Canis lupus familiaris: one gene and its partner. The protein of the gene in region 2 interacts with the protein of the main gene of each other region in a pairwise test. Links are inferred from orthologs where the notes say so. Each region holds a gene or a part of one and is shown on either strand. Other genes may lie near its edges.

Evidence for each region. The genes of interacting proteins can lie anywhere in the genome.
Region 1: the proteins of KRT40 (region 2) and CYCS interact in binary tests that used the Homo sapiens proteins (3 or more experiments, as listed by UniProt). The two-hybrid records come from large-scale screens. The link is inferred for Canis lupus familiaris from reciprocal best matches to the Homo sapiens genes KRT40 and CYCS.

What each region holds. Positions count from the first base shown.
Region 1 is NC_049235.1:38,663,672-38,667,972, forward strand, and holds CYCS (cytochrome c), read right to left. Parts: upstream 2,853-4,301; 5' UTR 2,727-2,852; intron 1,646-2,726; 5' UTR 1,638-1,645; coding exon 1,469-1,637; intron 1,345-1,468; coding exon 1,196-1,344; 3' UTR 317-1,195; downstream 1-316. UniProt on the Homo sapiens protein: Electron carrier protein. The oxidized form of the cytochrome c heme group can accept an electron from the heme group of the cytochrome c1 subunit of cytochrome reductase.
Region 2 is NC_049230.1:21,662,799-21,666,441, reverse strand, and holds the end of KRT40 (keratin, type I cytoskeletal 40), read right to left. Parts: exon of another isoform or gene 3,573-3,643; coding exon 3,411-3,572; intron 3,343-3,410; exon of another isoform or gene 3,332-3,342; coding exon 3,206-3,331; intron 3,055-3,205; exon of another isoform or gene 2,942-3,054; intron 1,875-2,941; coding exon 1,654-1,874; exon of another isoform or gene 1,536-1,653; intron 1,148-1,535; exon of another isoform or gene 1,108-1,147; coding exon 1,008-1,107; 3' UTR 529-1,007; downstream 1-528. UniProt on the Homo sapiens protein: May play a role in late hair differentiation.

The DNA.
Region 1 (4,301 bases), on a different chromosome or scaffold from region 2:
TTCCAGGGCCTACTCTAAATCTTATGGCATGGACCATGTATGAAATAACTTGGTATATAAATCATACAGTTATATACCACAAAACAAGGACTAGAAGCACGTTATTCTATCTATATTTGGCATAAACACTCCACTCCTCATTCTGGCCAATAGAAATTCTAAAGATCAATGACTGAAGTGTTGTTCTAATTCGCACTGTCCTAGAGGACTAAGTAAACAATCAAGTACTATGGCTAGTAACACTGCTCCACCAGTGCTTAGGATCCTTGTACTCAAAATTTTGGCAGTCATTAAATCAAGCACATTAGAAAAATCATGATCTGTGACTTTGTTTTTAATTATCTTAAACCTTATCACATAATGTACAAATTTGTGCTGATGACGGATCTCCTCTATTTTAACCTTTCTAAGGAGTTGGCAAAAGCACCATTACCAATCATACATACATGGTTAATTCCACATTTGTGTCACTGAATAGCTGTTTAGAAGACAATCCTGAATAATAACGTAGTCTTAGTCAAGAATTCACAAGCCAAGTCTGCTGCTGTATCTCCTCACACTAAATTTTAAAAGCGTCTGACCTTACAGGTGTATAAAACCCAAGTGTTAAAATTTTAATATTACGCACAAACCACACTAAAATGCCTTTCAATTAGCAAAAGGCAACATTTTAGATGCAAAGAATTTTAATTAAATTGGCATAGTTAAGACCAAAAAGATAAAGTGGACACTGCCAGCTTATCTTCAGCCATTGCCTTTAACAGGCTAGGGAACACAACTTGAAACACAGCTGAGTCTTGCTGTTCTGAGAGTGAAGGGATTTCCTCAGTATTTAAATATATTAATATAACCCGTTATATAAATCTAAATATAAAACCAATCTATAAATTTAGAGGTGGCATTTACCATCTCTGTGAAAAGCTACACATCTCTAATCAATTCCAATCATATTTTTTAGAAGGGGAAAACAGTGAGAGCACTTGCTGAACCAGAATTACTATCAAAGTTCAAAAAACTGATCATATTCATTTAACCACAAGCCAATCTTATTTAAATCAGGACTGTCCAAGAGAAACCTTCTATCAGCCACTCATGATCTGAATTCTGGTCAATGAGATCAATTTAAATATGGTACACATAAAAAAAAAGTCATGAGACATTTTTGTTTTGTAATAAATAAGGCGATAGCCAACTATTACTCCTTAGTAGCTTTTTTGAGATAAGCTATTAAGTCTGCTCTTTCCCCTGTCTTCTTAATGCCAGCGAAGATCATTTTTGTTCCAGGGATGTACTTCTTGGGATTCTCCAAATACTCCATCAGGGTCTCCTCTCCCCAGGTGATGCCTAAACAAGGAGGGACGTATTGTTAAGTATCTTACACTCCTGATAAAGGGCTTACCATTGGTTATATTCATGAAATTGTGCTTCTGTTATTTAATAACTGATCCCCCACCTCCCAGACCCTTACCTTTGTTCTTGTTGGCATCCGTGTAAGAAAATCCAGGGGCCTGACCGGTCTTCCGCCCAAATAAACCGTGGAGGTTTGGCCCAGTCTTGTGCTTGCCTCCCTTTTCCACAGTATGGCACTGCGCACACTTCTGAACAAAAATCTTCTTGCCCTTCTCAACATCACCCATTTTTCAATCTAAAAATGAAAGACTCCATTACTTTTTTCCTCCGAGTAAAAATCCAGTGAAAACCAACCAGTGGTCGCTCCAGGGACTGAATTACTAACCCATTGCAAATCTAGAGTATTAATCACCAGGGCGAATCTGGTTTTACTTAGTGTGCTGGCGACTGGCTCTCTAGGTACCAAAAACCACTAGCTGGAACGACTTCCCTAAATACACATCTATGTGTATTCGAGTGATAGAACTAAAGCCCAAGTAAGCAAAGTGGGAACCTAGTTCAAAAACGGTTTCAAAAGTTTGAGGTCAAGGTCACAGAAAGTCACAAATCTGAGTCAAGTCGAAAACCATGATTACATTAAACCAAAACTACCAAACTACCAAAACTTTCAGCTTTTAAGAAAGCCTATTTAATCAGACTGCAATGTGAAGCCACCTCTGATCAGTGAAAATACATTTACAAAACCCAAGTCCTGTGGTTGCTAACAGCCTGCTCGGGCCGGTATAAACGGCCCTGCGGTGCGGGTGGGAGGTCTCCCATCCGTCCGTCCTCCAGCTCTGGGCTCTCTGGAGACGCCCACGAGGTCACCCAATCAGGCTTTCAAGGAGACGGAGGGCACCTGCCTTCCCGAGATGCCTAGGCAGGTTAAGGGGGGAAAAGCGACAAGTGACTCGGAAGAAAAAGGGCTCGTTTTTGCAGGAGCGGTAGTTCCGGCCGCCTCTGCAGGAGGCCGTGGGGCGCTGCGCAGCCCCCCACATTCCCGCCCTCATCCCGGGAAGTCTGTCACTTCCACAGCCCCTGGGCCCCGGCTACGAGACCCCCGGGCCTCGGTCTGGGTTGGATCAGCATCCAGGCGGCTTCCGGGCTTTAAGGGCCCTGATCGAGCCCACTCCCCGTCCCAGCCGGCGTGCCGCCCCGTCTCCAGCCGTAGCCCACCGGCTTCTGGCCGGCCCCAGGCGGGGCGGGGGGGGTCACCCCTGGCCTTCCCGCCCCAGGTGCGCCCCACTCGCCGAACCCGGGCGCCGGCCTCGGCCAGGGCGCGCACCCCTCGACACAGCCGCGCGTCCCCGTGCTGCGGCTTCCCGCCCGGCGCTCACCGCCTTTCTGTCGCGCGCGCGAAACGAAGAAGCCCGCTCGCAAGCCGGACGTCCCGCTCTCTAAGTCCAAGGACACGCCGCTCCGCACCTAAGTACCGGTGTCGGTGCAACCGAACTCGATCCGTCCCTTCGCCGCCCGCCCTGCGGCTGCGCGGCCTGCTACGCAGTGACGTCACCGCGCCTCATTGGCTTCAGTCTCCAGGGCCTGCGTTAACGACCGGCGCGGAGGCCGGCCAGCAGGGTAGGGTGTGCCGCGCGGGTGCCCTTCTGCTCTCCCGCCGGCAGTTACGACAGGCCCCTGGATGTACGACAACGAGGCGGTGCCGGGAAGGGCTGACGTCGCCGTCCTGCCTTTCTGCGCATGCGTATCCCCAAGGGGAGGGTGGAGCGGAGTCGCGTGGTGGATGGAGGGCGTTGTTGTGCTAAGGTAACTGCTCTTGGGCTTGTTGACGTAATGCGCTTTGGGCGGGGGCGGGGGGGGCGTTTTGCCTGCCGGGAGGGGAACGCCCCAACTCTGACGCACGTAGAGGCCTCCTGGCTGCTGTCCGTGCAGCTGGCGGCCTTTCCGCAGTCTCTGTCCTGCTTTCGCGGCTGCCGCCAGCCGCACCCCAAAGCATCGCCTGGAACCCGGAGTTGTGAGAGTTGGACCTGAGCTCCCGACGTACCGCTTCGCCTTCACTCTGCTACTTCGACATCCCCCCCTTGACGGACACCCCGGGTCTGCCGCAGGGAAGCTGCCGTAGCTGCGGCGGAAGCTGGATTGTAGCTCGGGCCCCACAGCTGCCGGCTTTTCCGCCGACACCCGTCTCCCTTGCGTTTCTGTGCGGAACAAGGAGGATGTGCAGGCGCTAGCGAGGAGCCTTGTCAAGGGGCTAGAGCATTGTTGGAAACCTAGAGAGGATTTGCATCTCCTCTAACCTAGGCCGAATGACCTGTTCAAGTAAGATGTAATGCGGTTGGGGTCATATGACAAAGGCAGGTTTGATAACCACAGCTTCCGGGGATCATCCTTTTCCTCCAGAACTAGCTCTCCTTCCAGACATGCTCGGTTCTGTCCCTGGCAAATATTTTTTCTGGACTCCCTTGCCCCCGCTAATTCAGCCCCCGAGTTGTGAATGGGTTTTCCCCCTCCTTTCTCGTGTTCTAGCACTGCCGTTATTCATTCACAAGTGTTTATTGAATGCATATTATTTACCTGGAGTAGATCGTGGAGGACTCTTTCTCTGGTGGAGCTTACATTCTAGCCATCTTCTTCCTACTCCCAAGTTAAGCAGTAAACTTAACTAGATTACCTTACACCCCTTCCAGACCACGGGTACCATGATTTCTGCTCCAGACCATCCATCTCTCTATACGACCGGATTATTTTTTTATTGTTTTCTACGTCCTGATTTCGAGTTTCCTCTAATTGCACACACTAGGGCCACAAAAGCATCCTGTGAAACAGAAATCACACCTATTATGTTTTATAATATCTATGTATTCAAGTTTGGAAGAGACACACAGTATTTGCAGTTTACTCACAATACCTGAGGGAATTAGTTGAGAACAATGATAATTCTGCAGTTCGGTTTT
Region 2 (3,643 bases):
CAAAAGAAAACCCAAGGAACTCACTTGCTTGCTGTTCCTTGAATATGATTCTAGTTGGTTTGGCTTCTTCCACCTTTCAGAATCTGCTTATATTTCTTTTATATGTAATTTCCCTGGTTTTCAGCCAGACTTAGGAAGAGGAATGAGGAAATGTACATCCATTTCATTTTTTTGGAGGTGGAGTTCTCCACTTTGCTTTTTAAATGTGTATGAATAATTATTCTTATACCCCAAATGTCCAATAACAGGCCAATAACCTTATGGTATTTTATGTAGCCACTAAAATAACAGTCACAGGACAATCTTATAGGTTTATTTGGATTGAAAATGCTTACATGACATAGTGAAAAAAGTAGTTTACTCAACTATGTGCATATGTAAATATGATTTCCATTATGTGGAAAAACCTATTATATGAAAGAAAGCTGGAAGCTCCCAAAATACTGATAACGGGTGTTTGGGGGTGGAATTGTAACTAATTTTTTCCCCTTTCATGTGCCAAATTGAGAAAAAAATGGAATCCTGTACTTTTATAATTACAAATAAGACATTTATTCTTAAATTTCCTCTTAGAAAGATACATACAACTGTCTTCCAAGATGTATGACATTTTGCATGGATTAGTTAAACTTTTGTATTTGAGGAGTTAAAAACTATTTTCAGCCTCGGTTTGTGCAAAATCAAACTATCGACATGGGTTTAGGCATCACATGGTTCTTATATCCACAGTTATAAGCCACAAAGCTATATTTACCATGCTAAAGGAATGAAACATATTTTATTTGGAGATTAGCAAGAAAGCTTTATAGACTCCTAGAATATCACTAATAAGCAGGCAGGAGAGGAAATGACAAAGCAGAAATATAATGGGGATGTTTAGAGGACAAATTTAGGGTAGAAACCCCTTCTTGACTTTTAGATTTGGATGCATCTGATTGAAGTCCCATCTCCTTTCCAGGACACTGCTGGCTTTGACTCCTCTATCCACTGCGCCGAGGGTTGAACATTCATGCACAGTAGTTTTCGACCGTGCAAATCAGATACGCTGAGCATGCCTCACAAGTGTTGCTTGATGTGCTTATTGTAGAACACGGGTTACAAGGAAGCCTGTGGAAATTTTGAAGTAAGCTTAACAAGGGAAATCCAGGTAAAATTTCAACTCAGAAAAGATCGTGCCAAAATTTGCCCTGCAAATGATGTTCTGAACACTCTTTGCAGAGTAGCATTTGACCTAAGCCTATTTCAGGCCTAGATTCAGCATTGCCACTAGGAATGCTCACTGCCCCTGTGCCAGTTGAATACACAGTTTTGTGTATTTATTTCACTTTGCAAATGTTATCTTATGCATGTTCCTGATTTCTCTTTGGTGGAAGTCAGGAACAAAGGGGGACGCCCAGCATGAAATTTTGTATGTGATACTTATTCTGCTTTAGAACTTTGGAATACTTTTGAATACTTCTACTGTCATGTGATTAGCCTCAGCTGTTTTTTTTGTTGTTGTTGTTTTGTTTTGTTTGTCTTTTTACTCTTGTAAGGAGATCATTTAACACATGAGGGAGGTTTCACCTTGGGCAGACCTTGAGGAGGCAAGATTCTCTTGCATGAGCTTCTTTGTGACTTGGGGGATTTTGAGAATAATCGTGTGGAACTTGCCTGCTGTCTTCACTCTCAAGGAGACCTCGGTATGTGTTGATCTCACCCTCCAGCAGAGCCTTTGTGTCCAGCAGCACCTCATACTCCTGGTTCTGCCGCTCCAGGTCACAGCGGATCTCAGCCAGCTGGTTCTCCACGTTATCAATCAGGCACTGCATCTGGGCCAGCTGGGTGCTATACTGGGCCTCCGTCTCTGCCACAGTGCATTCCAGAGACTCTGTCTGCAGAAGAAAAAGAGTATATTCAGAAGGGCTGTGTAGCATAGTCCTTGGGGCCAGAGTGCTGGTTTTCAAATCCTTGATCTACCCTAGTGCATCTATGTGACTTTGGGAAAATTACTTAGCTTCTCTGAGGCTGTTTTATTTTATAAAAAATGACCAATGCAAAGTACTTATTTCATAGGATGGTTGTGCGGATTGAATGAATTAATATGTGTAAAACACTGTGAACAGTGCCTGGAAAAAATTTCAAAACTGTGCAAGGGTTAGTTATTACTATCACCACTTGCCCATCACAACCTGTAATATATATTAAGGAAGATCAACAGCATTTGAGGGGAGAAGTTGAGTATGGACTTGGGGCAGGAAAGAGCCATATAGAATGGTTCAGAGAAGAGGCTCTGGGATTGAACCAGCTGGATCCAGCTTCCACTTTTGCCTCTTAACAACTGCATGAAAAAAAAAAAAAAAAAAAAAAAAACAACTGCATGACCCCTGCTACTTAATCTGAGTCTCAGTCTTCCTCATCTGATAATGGGTTTAGTAAAAGGATTTATCCCATCAAGTTATTATGAGGCGTTTAAGCCTCTCACAAGATAAATATGTAGCTATTATTCACCCAGATAGTCTCTATAGGCCCCAATGTGGCACAGACAGTGGTGTCTGACTGGAACTGGCTAATGTGATCTTCAATGCATGGTATCCTTTTTAAAAAAATTTTTTTTTAAAATAACCTCTATGCCCAGCATGGGGCTTGAACTCATGATCCTGAGATCAAGAGTCACATGCTCCTCTGACTGAGCCAGCCAGGCTCCCCAGTGCATAGTATTTTCATTGCTGGGTGAAATGGGGTGGAGTGAAGGGTCCAGTTGAGGTGTGGATCCTGGAAAAGCTTAGGGTAGTGGAAGAATGCAAAGTTTGAATATTATTCTTTTATATGATGCTGAGTTTGAGAAGTTGGCCCAAATCAAAGCACAATTAAAACCCACTGGAATGCTTCAGTGCCTTCAGCTCAGAGGTTCCACTCTCATTCTGCTCCTGCCCTCCTGTTCTTTTTCTGTCTCTGGAAGGTGCTGCAGGATCATGCTCAAGCCCAGGAGGGAAGGTCAGGGAATCCTGTTGGGACAGTACAGACTGTTGACCTATCACTTCTGCTTCTAGCTCAGTAAACAGCAGTATTTGGGTAAGTCAAAGAATACAATCCTTGCATATTGGAAATTCAGACTTTCTGCCACATGAACTGTGGATCTCTCCTTGGGTTCATGGAAGAGGGACTAGCATCTCAGGGCTTAATTCTTCAGTGACAAAAACAGAGCTGTCTTTCCCTTACATACCAGGCTTTGCTGTGCTTGGAGCTCAATTTCCAGAGCATTGGCTGTGCGTTTCAGTTCCAGGATCTCTGTCTGGCAGTCTTGCAGCTGCTCTGCGCTGCACAGCTGCTGCTGATTCAGCTCCTCTGTCTGTAAACCAGGTATGATTAGAGGATGCAAATAAGGCAGAAGTCTGGAAGCTTGTCATTTTCTTGCTCTGGGTACTGACCTGAACAGCAAACCATTCTTCCACGTCTCTACGGTTGTTGGCCAGCACGGTTTCATACTGACAACGCATCTCTTCCAGGACCCTGTTGAGGTCGATGGTGGGGGCAGTGTCCAGCTCTACACTGAGTCGGTCACCCAACTGTCCACGAAGCAAGTCAACCTCCTGAAAGAGGAAATGGAGTAAAGAAAGTCACAGAGTGGTGGGGAAGAAGAATTCACCTTGACATCCCAAGA